Schizosaccharomyces pombe: one gene and its partner. The protein of the gene in region 2 interacts with the protein of the main gene of each other region in a biochemical or structural test. Each region holds a gene or a part of one and is shown on either strand. Other genes may lie near its edges.

Evidence for each region.
Region 1: the proteins of apm1 (region 2) and sip1 form a complex in vitro, tested with the Schizosaccharomyces pombe proteins (2 studies listed by BioGRID).

Annotation. Positions count from the first base shown.
Region 1 is NC_003423.3:1,333,954-1,341,033, reverse strand, and holds the start of sip1 (Pof6-interacting protein Sip1 AP-1 accessory protein), read right to left. Parts: upstream 5,324-7,080; 5' UTR 5,311-5,323; coding exon 5,064-5,310; intron 5,020-5,063; coding exon 4,941-5,019; intron 4,903-4,940; coding exon 4,854-4,902; intron 4,805-4,853; coding exon 1,352-4,804; intron 1,312-1,351; coding exon 96-1,311; intron 52-95; coding exon 1-51. Other genes in the region: SPOM_SPBC27B12.07 (uncharacterized protein), read right to left, coding at 5,872-6,035, 6,103-6,427, 6,539-6,922.
Region 2 is NC_003423.3:1,905,339-1,914,160, reverse strand, and holds apm1 (AP-1 adaptor complex mu subunit Apm1), read right to left. Parts: upstream 4,021-8,822; 5' UTR 3,982-4,020; coding exon 3,920-3,981; exon of another isoform or gene 3,845-3,919; coding exon 3,739-3,844; exon of another isoform or gene 3,669-3,738; coding exon 3,021-3,668; intron 2,943-3,020; coding exon 2,478-2,942; 3' UTR 2,346-2,477; downstream 1-2,345. Other genes in the region: fmo1 (flavin dependent monooxygenase), read left to right, coding at 682-2,025; ribosome biogenesis protein Nop8, read right to left, coding at 4,593-6,029; ribosome biogenesis protein Yar1, read left to right, coding at 6,489-6,929; ubiquitin-conjugating enzyme Ubc7, read right to left, coding at 7,417-7,670, 7,720-7,777, 8,174-8,362; SAGA complex, phosphatidylinositol pseudokinase subunit Tra1, read left to right, coding at 8,743-8,822. UniProt on the Schizosaccharomyces pombe protein: Component of the adaptor complexes which link clathrin to receptors in coated vesicles. Clathrin-associated protein complexes are believed to interact with the cytoplasmic tails of membrane proteins, leading to their selection and concentration.

The DNA.
Region 1 (7,080 bases), 570 kb from region 2:
CTAACAACTCTTGCTTAGAATTTTTTAATAGTTGTTGATCGTCCATAATGACTAGACAGTTAGCATGAAATTATTCGTTTATTTTTAGGACTTACCTTCATAAACATGCATTGCTGTCGCAAATAAATCAACACGCACAATAGCGGGGAAAATGTTGGAAACATCAAGAAATGCATTAAAACACAAAATAACAAATTCACTAGCTTTTTTATTGGTAGCTGATTCAGCTGGATCAGAACGTAGGCCCGGCACTCTAACCGTTAAAGCTAATGTCAATATTTTGACCAATTGAAAAAGCATTTCGACGCTTTCTGATACAGTAGGCTCCATAGATGTTACAGAATCTGTTTCACAAAACTTCAAGTCATTGTGTGCCGGGTTAGCAAGAGCTAACTTTTTCACAAAAATGACAATACTAGCCTTCGTTTCCCAATCCTCCGTCAAAATCAAACGAACTAAAAGATCAACAACTTCGGGGAACACATTATGGTCATAAAGAACCTTGGTACATAATTCTTCAGTTAAAACTTCAGTCATAATTCGCATAATTCTGAAAACTGGATTTCTAAAGCCTTGCAAAGTGCTTGGAATTAAGAGAGATTGGAAGCAGACACTAAACAAAAAAAAGTTAAAAGAGTACCTGTTGGAAGCATAATTTATGTTGTCTTGGAAGAATACGTCCTCCTCAGAAAGCGACAGCTCATCTCCACTTAATATTCCATAAATCAGATTTGCATCAGTAGAAAGTAATATTGTTAATGACTCTGCGATGTTCAGCCAAGATTTCTCATAAATATTGAGAAGTATTTTAGGGTTTATACTTTGGACCCGAGTGAAAGAGGTATCAGCTACAAAATCTTTTACTAAACTAGGACCAAATTGCAATCTGGAATATCCTCTTAAAGCCATAATCCAATGCGAAGATAGCCTTCGGATGTTAGAGGAAAGAAATTCTTTCAAATATGACACATTCGCTGAATGTACCAGCAAAGAAGCCCAAGCTGATAAAGTAGCAATACGAAGAAAATATTTCGAGTCATACTTAAAGTGACGATTTTCCTCAAATCCAGCCCTCTCTGGTAAACTAGATTCCAACGCTTCTTTCAATAAATTGAGGATTTTAGCTGCTTGCGATTCGGTTTTTAGAAGTCCAGTTCCAATAAAATTGGAAGCTATATTAAGAGACATGGCTACTATTTCAGGAGATGAATCATCTACAAACGCGGAACTAAAAGCAGAGCTGATTTGAGCTTGAAATTGGTCCAAAAGAGAAACATCGTCAAAGTCAGGATCCATAACATTCGAAAAGTCCTAAAAAATTGTTAGCGAGTTTCCTTTAGATTATCCTTACCGTTATGATAGTATCCAAAAGTTCAAAACCCCCCTGCTTCAAGTAAAAGTTGTCTGAAGTAGACAAAACAAAAGCAGCACGGACTAGGTCAGATATCCTAGAAATCAAGTATTTTGCGGGCTCTTTATTTTCGGCCATCACTTCAGAGATACATGTTTTAAGGCATGTAGCTGCATAAAACTGCGTCTGCCAACGGTAATTCTTCTGGAATAATGGATTACTTGCGTTTTCGGAAGTTCCATAAGCCAAAGATACGGTATCTTCATCTAGGTTGTTTTGTATATCTTGTTCGTTGGATCTTTCAGAACTCGAAGTATTTTTTATGCCGACAAGAAAAAGTAAAATATTTACCCATGAGTGTATGTCCGAATCTTTGTAATCGTTTAGCCAGATATACAGTATGTTCTTCAAAAGCTTGTTGTCAGGAGTGGTGTCGAGTGATTGCCAAATAAGCCTATCAAAATGTCGCTTATAACATGATTCCGAGAACTCATGGTTTTGAAGCAATATTTGGTATAAAACTTCAATAGAAATTTCCCTACGTTTAGGTTGCTTTAGGTCAATTATGTTACCACAAAGCTCCCTAATGAAGAAATCAGAATTGGTTTCTAATGGTGTAAATAGATATAGGTGCTGATAACATTTGTAAACGTGTATAATGTTATCTCCCGTATCTCTACTAAGTAAAAGCAATTGGTGAGCTAAATCGAATGCGAAATGCGAAGTAGAAGAATCGGATCGCAAGTTTGGTCCAAGCTCATTTATCAAACAATCCAAGTAATTGGCAAAAAGAGTGGACGGGAAAAATAAACTGTTTCTCTTCTTTAAGAGCTGAACATCAATATCACATTCTGGCAATAGCATATAGCTCAATAAAATGCGTGTCTGGGCAGTTAAAACACTCGGAATGGTCTTTGCGATAGACCCAAGAGAAACGGAAGAAGCACGAATAGAACACTCTCTAACAAGGTCATTCGAATCAGTATTAAAAACTTTGAGCAGCTGATAAGCGGTGATGAGGGTAGTTTGGGGAACTCCGGAACCAACCTTTTTTAATATATGGCCAACGGCTAGAATCAAGACAGCCCTGCAATTTGGATCTCCCGACTCTGCAGCACGTTTAATTATTGTATCCAAAACGGACGTCGGTTTGCTTTGATATAAATATGCCAAAAACGCATAAGATTTCGAAATGTAAGGAATTAACTTCGGATCGTTAACAGCAGTCAAGTTTTCGAGCAATTCTATCATAAGGGATACAACCTTGTCAGGCAAGGTAACTTTTTTGTTATCGAAAGCAGAGAGAAATCCATAAATGGAAAATAAAGTATTTGCTGTTACTGCCTTGTAACGTAAAATATCTCTCCCACTCTTGAGGTTTGTCACAGACGCTACCATAATTTCGAGAGTGCTCTCCATAACCTTCGGAGGTTGATGACAAAACATAGACGCAAATAACTGGATCGCGTTATCAATTAAAGAAGTTAAAGACGGGGGTACGTAAGGAAGTTTTGCAGAGTTTGATCTCGAAATCACTGACAGGGAATCAGAAGATGACTCGCAAATATAACAAGGAAGTATATCATCCATGGTTGTTTGAAATTCTTCCTCTGGCTGAGCGTAAAATCGTGAACCAATTCCAGGTATAACTCTTGGAGAAGTAAAGGCTTTCGCTTGAACTATTTCGTCCGCAGTATCATATCCTTGTAAAGAAGAAAGTTCGGCTATAGTAGACACAGTCGTGGATAGTAATTCTTGATCATCTAAACTCATTCCACTTAACTGAGACAACTCGAAGAAACATTGGAAAATCCGAGCAAGCAAGAGAGAGCGAAGTTCCAAGTGAGAATAATCTGAAGCGGGAATTGGCATGGTAATTTCAAGCCTTTTGGTTAACGAAAAAGCTTTGTAGAATTTAAGGCAGTTATTTAGGAAAATAATGACTCGCTTCCTAACATCAGGTGTGAATAAAATCTTGTTATACTCCAAAAACGAAAGCAAGCACTGTAACGCTTCAAACCGATTAAACATGTCTGCATTTGTCTCCATGAAATTTTGTGAATGTATTTTTGAAGGTACTCTGGAAAGGGCATTCTTCCATAAAATTAGCAATTGGGACAATTGCATTCTAGTAAAAGAAGGACCAAAAGAAACGTAAGCGCTTAATAGTCGCCAACCAGTCTTGATTTGTGCTTGTGCCGCTAATAAATCCAATTTAGATGATGACTTAATCAAATCCAAAGAGAAGTTAAATAACTTTGAAAATATAGAAGAAGCAACATATAGAGGATTTTCTTCGGCGGCAACATAAATCGACATCAACGACAAAGTAAGATTATTGAAAATACCAACATTCAATTTGGGACTTACTTCCTTAGGTTTAGAACGAAGGTGCTTAAATTCCAACTCTAATCTATTAAAAAGAGCAAGCAAAGTGGGCATTAAAGGAGAAGGCATAACGGATAGTAAACAGCGCAGCAACCAGGCTACTTCATTCTTCAATGAATCTTTACCCAAGTATAGAATCTGTAGTGTAGTATCTAGTAACTGACTATATAAAGCAGTAGCCGAACCCTTTGATCGGCTTAATATATCAGCGGTGGAAGCCATCGCAGTCTTAACAGCAATTTCCGAAATCTTCGACTGATCTTTTAAATAAGGCTCTAACACTCTCTTTAAAAGTATTTCAATTCCCTGCAATTCAGAGCTTTGATCGAGAAATCGCCTTCCAATCACATCGCGAAACAAGTATGTACAATGATATTGCTCCAACGAAGACAACCATTCTTTTGAAGTAGAGTGTGATTGGTGTAATAGAATAATATCCACTATAGTAGTGTAGTTGAGAGAAACAAAGGATGGACGTTGCATTAGAAAAAGATGCTTAACGGCAAAAACAAGAACCGCTTTTGAGCTTTCATACTTTGCATGCTTGGAGTGATAATTTTCGACAAGAATCCGTAGGGCGTGACGAAAACTCTCAGTTTCATCAAAACGGCGAGTAGTAGACCGATTTTCTACTTCCTCATTGTTCTCATCATCCGCTGGAGTTGAGGGTACTGCGTTTGCAGCGGCTTCAATCGATTTGTCAGCTTGAGCACTTGCAAGTGCAGAAAAGCATCTTCCTAAAGAAGAATGGAGCAAAGAATTATCAATTGATGATTTTTTAAATAGAAAAGATTTGAACCATTCCAATTCTGAATTACGAAGACGTGAAGAGCCCAGAATGTAGTAAGCGCAACGAAGTGCAGATAAAAGAACATTCGTTGATGAAGTGTTTAAATTTGATTTAATACATTTCCATATTTCTTTTATCAAATCTTCATTCGTAGACTGAATAGATGTTTCAATGCATTTCGACAGTCCATCTAATGCGATTGAGCGAACTCCATATGACAAATTGGTTTTCGAATATTTGAAGAAAAATCTTATAAAAGTCTCTTGCTGATTGATCTATTAAGGTTAATTATAAGTTTATAGAAAATATCCAAAAGAGTAATACCTGATTTCCATATTCTTCCAAGCAAGAAGTCAGAACGGATAAAACGTTACTACCGGTTAGTTGATATTTCAAATATTCTAGACATACATAATCTCTATATAGTCTTTTTTCTCATGAATGCTATCCACGAAGTAAAGTAAAACTCGATGCTGATGATAACCCTCGACTAATACTTGTTAACATATACCATTTTCCATAAATCTCACATACGTCCTTTTAAGAGTGCAATTATACAGTTAGAAAGAAGTTTTCTAGTTGGATAAGCAATAAAATTTCCATATTTTTTGATTAACGAAAGTAGGGGATTTAAATTAGTTTGTAATGAATCCTCGCGAGTATTTTTGTTCAGATTCCTCAATTGTTTTTCGTAATTGAGTAAATCAATATATATGGTCTCCCTCTTATCTACATCAGCTACTTTCGTCAACTTTTCGAGCGGCAATGATGCTAACGACATATGTGGAGCGGCCAAACCAATTTCCCTAGGCTAAATCTATATACATTGAGTTGCGAGGTACTGAAATCTGCAGTCGACATTTACACGATTTACAATAAATTAATAATCAAATAGTCTATAGATAATATATTTATTATTATCATTATAATTAACCACTTTACTTATCAACCACGAACACAAAGATGTTTTAAATTGTAGGAGACTACTAGAATGCAATAGCCATTCCGAGTATCGTTAATTTTAAAATTAAATAAAACAACGAAAAGTCATTTATAGATTTAGTTTTGAAATGGACAAAAATTTTGTCTGAGAAGGCAAAAATCACAGCTCAACGCTAGTATGAGCATCTGCAATGCAAACAATTATTATGCTATTCATAATGGTATTTCCATGTACAATAAGAACAAGGGGTCTCATGATCAGAAGGAGTACTAATAAAACTTAATATTTGCATATTTCCATAAAACCTAATTGAACATTTTCATAAACAAAGAAGAAAACACAAAAAAAAAGAAAGGACAGATATTAATGAAGAGCTCGAAATGCTTTGCTGGCCATAACTCACATATGGGAGAGATTAGTATCAGTATAATCATCGCGCTTGTTATCTAAATTAAATGAACCTAAATTATCAAGCTCATCTTGTTTTTCTTTTTTTCTGCTTCGTACTCCAAGTCCAAATGGAATAACCAGCACTAAAAACCCTGTAAAAGCCATCACCACACCTGAAAAAGAAAAGGAAATTAATAAATGAAATTTCAAATACCTAGTTTGAACTATAAATATACTTACCTGCTGCTTTTCTTATTTGGTCCCATTTCTGCCTCTCATTTTCAGCCCTCAATTTACCTAACGAAACGGCTAATAAATTGTGTAGTTCAACAATTCTTGCACTCAATTGCTGGACTTCATTCTTTGTATCATTTTTCCGATTTTCAAACTCCATTTTGCTTTCGGTATTAAGCTTGTTTAACTGCTCGTGAACCAATTGTTCCAAACTTTCTACTTCCCTTTGGTTTGAAAACAAGCCTGAACGTAACGAACTGATTTGATCTTTTCTCATATTTATTTTCTCTGAGCGAAGCTCCGACAAAGCTGTACGAAACAAATAGGAGCACTATACAAGTTAGCTATGACAGTTCATTTGAAAGCAAAAAAAACCGTCAATCTATAATTAAAGATAAATTTAAAGACGGAAGGATTCTGTAGCTTAATAAATCATACGTACATTTTCAAAATCAGCTTCAGACAGGTAATTGAGATGACTATGTCGCAGCATATCAGTAACAAACATATTCGTGACTTCGAGAAGACCCTCGGCCTCTTTTTCTGTATATCCTTTATCCATTAAAGTTTTCAAAAATGTAAATGTGTTGAAGTGATATCCTTCAAGGTCTCTGAAAGGACGATTTTCGTGATTGGCATTTACTACTGAAAGACCCTTTTCCATTTCACCTGCATCTGTCCCTTCTGATGCATAAAATCGAATTTGCTTCGTTAAGGATAAAGAATAAGGAATTAAACGAAAAGTATTGATACTATGCACTTTAATCCCATGCAAGGTAATTCGGGATCGATTAACATCTATAGCTTTTCGTAGCAAAGAGAACATTTTGTCAAGCTACCAAATTTTGATTATAAATTAAGCAACTTATTAACAGACATAATTAATTTTTGTTAAAAATTGGGTACGATGATTGTGGTGAATGTTAAATGTACATATCAGAAGGCGTAAAGGAGTAGTATGGGTGTACCCATAGAAAATAATAA
Region 2 (8,822 bases):
AAACAACATTAATAGGTTCACATCTAATGTATTGCTATTCATTATCTGGAAGATCGCTTCGGTCTTTATAAGTAACTAATTCTTAAACGCTGTTATCATTGGACGCTAAAAAAATTTTCTCTTTGATAATCCGTTGCCAAGGTCAAATTTACATTCGGATATCAGCTTGATCTTAATTATTAAATCCATCAAGAGGTGTAAACTACATTTATTATTTTAATTTGCTCTAAATGAGAAATTCAAATGTCCCATTTTTGTCATATGGCTCGCTTATAACAGAACTTGGATTACTAAAATGTTGATCGGATGTTGTAATTTAGTCGTGCTTAATATTGAGTATGATGAAAAGATTGTTTAAAGTTGCGAAAAGCGGATGCGTTTTTGAATCCATAACAAACTATATATACAGATAGTGTCTGGCTTCAATATGTGTATCGCTAACCAGCACTTCTATTTTTTAGCCAATAAGCTATAGCTTTATCAGCGATTTCAAGGCCCCCTGGCAGATTGAGGACAATCGGAACGTGCAAAGATATAAAACGCACATAAAGTGTAGTTTTCATTCAATTACACTCCTTCACAATTGGATATTGTTTCATTCTGTTATTCTTTGTACAGAAAAAAAAATATCTTAATTTACTTGGTACTAATCAAAAAATTATCATTTTCTCTTTTGTTCTTATGTGTCTTCCAACAATTCGAAAAATTGCAATCATTGGTGCTGGTCCCTCTGGATTAGTTACGGCTAAAGCGCTGTTAGCAGAAAAGGCGTTTGACCAGGTCACGCTTTTTGAGCGAAGGGGGTCTCCGGGTGGTGTTTGGAACTATACAAGTACTTTATCAAATAAGTTACCGGTTCCTAGCACAAATCCCATTTTAACAACCGAACCCATTGTCGGACCAGCTGCTTTACCTGTGTATCCTTCACCTTTGTATCGTGATCTGCAAACTAATACCCCAATTGAGTTGATGGGTTATTGTGATCAAAGCTTTAAACCCCAAACTCTTCAATTCCCCCATCGACATACCATTCAGGAATATCAACGGATATATGCACAACCTCTGCTGCCCTTTATAAAATTAGCCACCGATGTCCTAGATATAGAAAAGAAGGATGGCTCCTGGGTCGTGACATACAAAGGAACGAAAGCCGGAAGCCCGATTAGTAAAGATATCTTTGATGCAGTCTCAATTTGTAATGGTCATTATGAAGTACCCTATATCCCCAATATTAAAGGTCTCGATGAATACGCTAAAGCCGTGCCGGGGTCAGTTCTACACTCATCGCTATTCCGTGAACCAGAATTATTCGTGGGTGAATCAGTACTTGTAGTTGGTGGTGCTTCTTCTGCAAACGATCTCGTCCGACACTTGACGCCAGTCGCTAAGCACCCTATATATCAAAGTCTTCTTGGTGGAGGGGACATACAGAATGAATCGTTGCAACAAGTACCTGAAATTACTAAGTTCGATCCTACCACTAGGGAAATATACTTGAAAGGTGGAAAAGTGTTATCTAATATTGACAGAGTTATTTATTGTACCGGATACTTGTATTCCGTACCATTTCCTTCCCTGGCTAAGTTGAAATCCCCTGAAACCAAGTTGATTGATGATGGTAGTCATGTGCACAATGTCTATCAACATATATTTTATATCCCCGATCCAACTCTGGCTTTTGTTGGTTTAGCTCTACACGTTGTTCCTTTCCCTACTAGTCAAGCACAGGCAGCGTTCCTCGCGCGAGTTTGGTCTGGTCGCCTCAAATTACCCAGCAAAGAAGAGCAGCTGAAATGGCAAGACGAATTAATGTTTTCGCTGAGTGGAGCAAATAATATGTATCACTCTTTGGATTATCCAAAAGACGCTACCTACATTAACAAGCTACACGACTGGTGTAAACAGGCTACACCTGTTCTTGAAGAAGAGTTTCCGTCACCGTATTGGGGCGAGAAGGAACGAAGCATCCGTGAAAACATGTGGTCCATCCGTGCTAAGTTTTTCGGAATTGAACCTCCAAAGTAAATACGTACTTGAAAACTCATTACACCCTTAGACCTTTAAACTTTTCCCTTCAATCTTTTTCTTACTATCCGGTCTCCCTCTCATTCTCTCGCTTTTGGTTTTTAATTTATTATGTTTAGAAAACCGTTTGGAACAATCTGTCTTTTATGTATTTTTAATACACGGAGATTCACTACTGAGTAAATGGAATTGTATGTTAGAAAATCTTTATTTCTGTTTTAATAAAAACATTGAACTTATCCTTTATACAATAAATAGACTTAGACATTTATGTTTCAAGCAAATGCTCCTTTTATGTCAGCTGAGTAAGAAAAAGGATTAGCGCGTCTGCAAACAAGATTTCATTTCGTAATAAATGGGATCAGTACACTAAGAAAACAAATATATAGATGAAGGGAAAGGTATCTAAAGGTAGAAAAAAGAACGGAACGGAGAACCATCATTAGAAACATTTACTGACGGATGGAATATTCAGTACCATTTTGTGTAACATATCGAACCCAAGGCATAGCATGATAATTAAGTTTTGGTTCGGTGATTTTTAAATAACGAACTTGGATCCCTGAGGTAGTGAAATAGGGAATAGCAAATTTTAGTTGAACAGGACGTTTTTTCTGAACTTGAATATCTTCATTTTTAACACTTGGTAAACCCATTTCAGCACGCATGAAAAATTCTTTACCACCTGCAAATTTCTTAATGTTCCAAACCATGGCAGCTTGTTCAGGTGCATATTGCACATGACCATTGCTAGTTTGAAACCGAGGACTGTCAGCATCTTCCGGAACGGGAATGATGATTTGGACATTATTTGCAATACAACGCTTTTTGAATTGAGCCTTAGCTTTTACCATAAACTCAATTCTCGAACCTGAATGCACGATGGATTCACATTCAACCCAAATTAATGGCCGTACCTAACGAGAAATTAATATTAGAAAACGTTGATAAAGGAGAGAGGGAATAAAAAGAACAGGCACAAACTAATAACTTACATTTGAACTCATGCGATAGGACATTAAATCAAATTCGCCATCAGGAGGAATGAACGAAATTGTACGATCGTTTTCAAATCGAGCAAGACGAACACATTGGTGAAATTTCACATCTTCCATTTCCACAGTGTTTCCTTTAATGGTACGACCAGCCGCTTCGAAAAGGACCTTGTCATTGAGCCCAAGACGAAGTTCAGGCATTCCTGATAAGTAGCATTTGAGACGAACTTTTCCTAAGATTTCACTTTGAATGACCGTACCATCGGCAGCAGCAATTAAATTAACTGATTCAATAACGTCCAAAAATACTTCATTCTTACGATAGTGAATTCCTTCAGAACGCCAGGAGATAGCATTTGTCATAGCAATGGGGGGTGGAGCATGCTTTTTTACCGTATTTGAGGTTTGAGTGATGTATTCTTGCAAGATTTTTGTTTCAGTTGTTTGTGGAAAACCGAAATCCATGATCTCGTCTAACAATTCATAAACAAGAACAAAGTTATCTCGAATCGACTCTTCCTGCAATTCTTTAAAGTAATCTATAAAAACGTCCGCCATTTTACGCAAAAATACTAGCATCTCCATTGCATCGGAATTCATTTTGGATAAAGCAAGGAGGTAGACATCATTATGGTGAATGTAAATGTACTGAAAAGTGTTAGTACGACCATAAAAAAATAAGAATTGTTGGCTTTCATAATATCTAACTTTTACATACGTTAATGCCTTCGTGAGTGAGACAAGGGGTGGAGAATCCTTGTTCTTCTTCAACTTCTGATTTTAAAGGTAAAAACTTTTCAACTACTGACATGGGGATATCAGCTCTAATTGTTTTCTGTTAGTAACCTGTCGACGAATTGCGACAATCTGATTTTCATTCAGATTTCAAAATTGCCTACCGGTAATCACGGGAAATGATTACCTTTCCCTTTAAATTCAGAACGAATATAGCAGAAGCCATTTTTACAGAAGCCGCGAATAAGGCAGCTAGTTTCGCTCTGGATAACTAGCATTGACTGTTGGCTGCCTCATCACCGTGCCTAAGCACCGCTAGTGTAATACAGCGTAATTCACTATTTCTGTTTCTTACATATAGTACGAAATTCTTCTTATATTGAGTAATTACTACTCTATGCACACATTCAGTCTTCTTTTATAAGATAATCTATTCAGATAATTATAACTAATTTACATTATATGGTTTTGTAAATGCCGAAAAGGAAAATAATTTTTCTGACAATGTAAGAAAATTTCGGTATGTTTTATTTGACAACTTTGGCTTATAACAATAAGAATAACAAATATTTTAATAAAATTTGATCTCAAACATTGTAAATATTAAAAGCCACAAATCCCAAGAAAGTGCAACGAAAAAAGTTGTTAACTTTCACCAATGATAAAACCAAAGTGAACATCGTGGCTTTTTAAAAAGACACAGATTTTTTTCTAAAATAAAAAGGATAGAGAAATAACAACGTAAAGATTCCAAAAGTGTGTAAAAAATCAATATATACCTCGTAACCTTAAAATACCCAAATAAATTCCCAATAAATACATAACCTATACGCGTCTTTAAACAAGTCGAATACGCTTTTCATGAGCCCTTCGCTGTCTTTTTACGGCATCTTTTCTTTTTCGTTTGTAATCACGAGTTAAGAATAGACGATTTTCCGACCACCAGGATTCAAGAGCTTCTCTGCTCGTATAATCTTCATTACCTGGTTGGAATAGGGAAGAAGGATTGGGTAGAGTAAACATTTTTGGCCAACCCTTGGTACCCGATGAGGCTTTAACTATAGCTAGCGGAGTTTCCCCATCTGCCTCTTCTTCCATAGTTTCGTAATTACGGTCATCAATCTCACTTTCCATTTCACTTTCCTCACCAACTCCATTTTCATTGCCAAAAAGAGAAAACTTAGACGTATCCTGCGCATTGGAAGAAAACATTTCTTTTAAATTGTCAACGTTAACAACAGCAGTACGCTCATCAAATGCTTCAAATTCAGCAGGAACATCTATGTGTACGGACTCTTCCTTTTGTAAATTATCTTGTTCATCCAAACCTTCTTTTTGGAAATTATTAGTCGAATCATTGTCCAGTTCCAAAACACCTGAAGTTTTAGATACGGTATCAATTTCTTCTGTATTTTCAGAACCAAACAGTTCAGCTAACACAGATGCAGCCGTATCCTTATCTTTTTTTCGCAAAGCATCCAATTGCTCTTCGTTTAATTCTTTTGTGACTTCAATCTCCCCAGTTGTGTTATTAAGAAGTTCAAAATCGTTATCATCCTTCTGAGTAGAAGCTTTGATACCCAATTTTGCTTGCATACGTATTTTGTCACGAGAAGCTCTCTTACCCCCATATGATACATACTCATCATGATCAGAATCATAAAAAGCTGTAGTATTGTCCATATTCGTTTCCACTCGGCCCCATAGTTTTTGTAAGCAGTTTTTACCCAGCGGATAAAAAAACCTCGTTTTCTTAGTATTTTTATTATACATTCGAAGCACGACAATGGCCCTTCCATAGGGGCCTTTTTTCCAACCTTTTCTAGGAGGATCCTTCCGAACATCAGAATCCGTGACCACCTGCATATTTTTACTATGTTTTCCGGGAACAATTATTTCTCCATGAAAGACTGGGTCTTCCAGATCAACTTTGCTGGAGTGATCTTCATTTTTCTCATCATTATTAGTACTTTGAAGATCAGCAATTTTTTTTTCCTGCTGCAATTTTACTAAATAATAAGGGCGAGCTTCCTCTATACGAAGTTTACTTCCTTTAAACGTCGCATTTGATAAGTAAGACTTGCATTTCTGCCATTTATCTTCATCTGTTCGAAAATTCAAGTATGCAAATCGTTGTATAGTTCCTACTGGAGTAGATTTGTTTATAATTTCAAGATTTGAAACACTTCCAAAACGAGAAAATCTGGATTCCAAATCTGAAGATTCAATAGAGGATGAAAGGCCACCAACATAAATCCGTTTTTCTAACTCCATTATTGAAGTCAATTGATACAAAATGAGGACAAAAAGTTTCGCAGGTCAAAAAGAGTGTCTGAAATATAATGGGAAATAAACCCGAAAAAATAGTCTACCAATCGCTACCAGATAGCTATTTAGATGAGGAATCGAGAGCTGTGTGAGCAATGAAATTTTTTACAAGGAAAGCATATATACTGGTTTAAATCTCTATGACTTTCGGAAATAAACACTCCTGTAACTTCTTTTTCTCCTTCTTATAAATCAAAAATTAACCTGCTGTAGAAGGCAGGTTCTCGTTGAATAATTATATAAAATTGCAATGGAATTTGTGGTGTAGTAAGTAACCACGGCCTTGCCGAAGCCAAGTTGGAGAAGCCGCGGCTACCTTACACTAACAAACGAACAGTTTTCACATCATTCTCTTTCCAAATAAACCGGTAAAACATCCTTCTTTACTGGATTGGATAGTTTAATATGGATGTTGATGATTTAATTTACGCTTGTAGAGCTGCGGATGAGGAGTTACTAGATGAGATTATAGAGAAATGTCCACAAGAATTAAGTCGTCGTGATGAAAATGGTAACTCTGGACTTCATATGGCTAGTGCTAATGGACACATCGCTGTTGTTCAAAAAATAATCCCGTACTTGAATAAAGAAGTAATAAATGCTCAGAATGAGAGTGGAAACACCGCAATGCATTGGGCAGCACTGAATGGACATGCTGAAATTTGCAAATTACTACTGGAAGCGGGAGGTGATCCTCATATTAAGAATATTTATGAGAAGTCACCTATATATGAAGCTGATATTCGAAATCAGCAAAAAGTAATGGACCTTTTTCTGGATTTTGAGATTGCTAAAGGTAGTGAAGAAAACACTGGTGATGAAGAAAAATTGGAAGATGGAATATGATCGTTTTATTTGATAATTTCTGATTTTTATTTTGTAAAAAAATTTACCTCTTTCTTTTGTAGGTTGTGGGAAGCTAATATTTTTATGCACCTGATGCATTTTTTTTTTCTTTTGGAGCATAATTTGGGGTTATTCTTATATTTTGTTAAGTTTTTTACTGTGTAATTTCTAGATGTTTTCTCAATATAATTCGTTTTCAGCGATGTACGTTGCCATGTATCTGTGTAGAAAGTTCAAGTGATGTTTATTAAAAGATGGATTATCTCAATAGACAAAATGTTTATCTTCCATCATTTACAGATAGAAATTGAATTGGAAAAGTGCTTTCATTTTTGTTTAAACCTTGTAATTAAACCTATGTAGCGTTATACGTTGGAATAGAAAGAGAAAAGCCTACCGGTTGCGTTCAAAAATGGAACAAAACTTTATTTCTAGATTTTATCAGGTTCGTTATTCATGGCAATCTAATCAAATATACAATTCATGGTTATAATCCCAAGGTTTTACGAGCCAATCGTCGAACTACACGACAATATTCTTCTCGATCTTCTCTCCACATCTTGCACGCATCGATGTTAGCACCACTTTCATCGTTTGGTTCCGCCAACATCGACATTACCGATAACAGTATTTTTTCAACAGATTGAACAGGAGACCAACGTTCTGAAGACGACTCATACATATTTGGATCGTCACCAGGTGCATGTAGGATGGAAATGCAAACCGTCCCATCTTTGTAAACTGAAATGAAGGTTAGTCTCGAAATTTGGATTAATAGTATCTGGCATACCATTTGGATGGAAAAATTCACACTCAAACTTTAAAGTAGGGGGGCCAAGAGGATAATCCTACATAAAAAAGTTAGAATCCAATAAAAATAAAACTAAGCACGTATCAACGTGCGCTTGAACACCCCGGATGTACTGCCATGCGATTCAAAGAAAGAAACCAAACCCCCAAAAAAAAACTTAGATAGATCTTTTAAATAAAATTTCTTCCTACTCATCAATAAATCGAAGGATTCATCAATTACTAATGAATAAAAGCACTTCTCTTAAATGATCATTCTAAACGAATGGATTATTGAGTTACTTTCTTTATTTACGCTGAACAAATGTTAATTTATGAAAAAGAGCGCGTATTTTTTAATAAGTAGTTGATACATAAAACATGCGAAACATCATACTTATCCACAACTTAAATCACATGTTCAGTCTCCATCAGGTTTATAGTAAAGGACTTACGGAAGGAAATTTCAAGGTAGCAGGGTATAACCCACCTTCAAATGGAGTTCCATCAGGGCCTTGAATTAGGCAATCCCAAGTAAAGAAATCATCCTCATTCGATGGACCTGCAGTAATACCATCAGGCCCATTCTCCGTTAACTCCTTATACTCCTTCATTAACCGTCGCAACGCCATAGCTTTACTCATTTTGGAAATCAATTAACTTACTAATCGGTAAGATATATTAAAGATCACTGACTAAAAGGTAGCCTAAAAATGGTAATGAACAGATTAATGAATGAATGGTTTGTTTACGACAAATTATGCAGCTGAGGCTAAACGAACTTTTGTGGTATCACTCGCTATTTTTATCTCGTTCATCATTTTAGCAACTTCTACCGCACAAAATAATAAGGCCGTTAATTAAAATAGCGAAAACATGTAAAATTCATAAAGTGATTTAGAGGAAAGAAATGCAGCTTGCTCTATCCCACAACATTCCAATAGTAATTGTTAAATACTTAGGAAAACGTATCCGAGTGCAATTGGAATTTAAAAAAGAGCTTGCGCAGAGATCCAAGCATCTGATGGATGTATCACAATGCGAACATTGGCATAATCGGCTTTGTGATGTTGGATTAGACTCGAAGCAAAAGGCAAACACAGC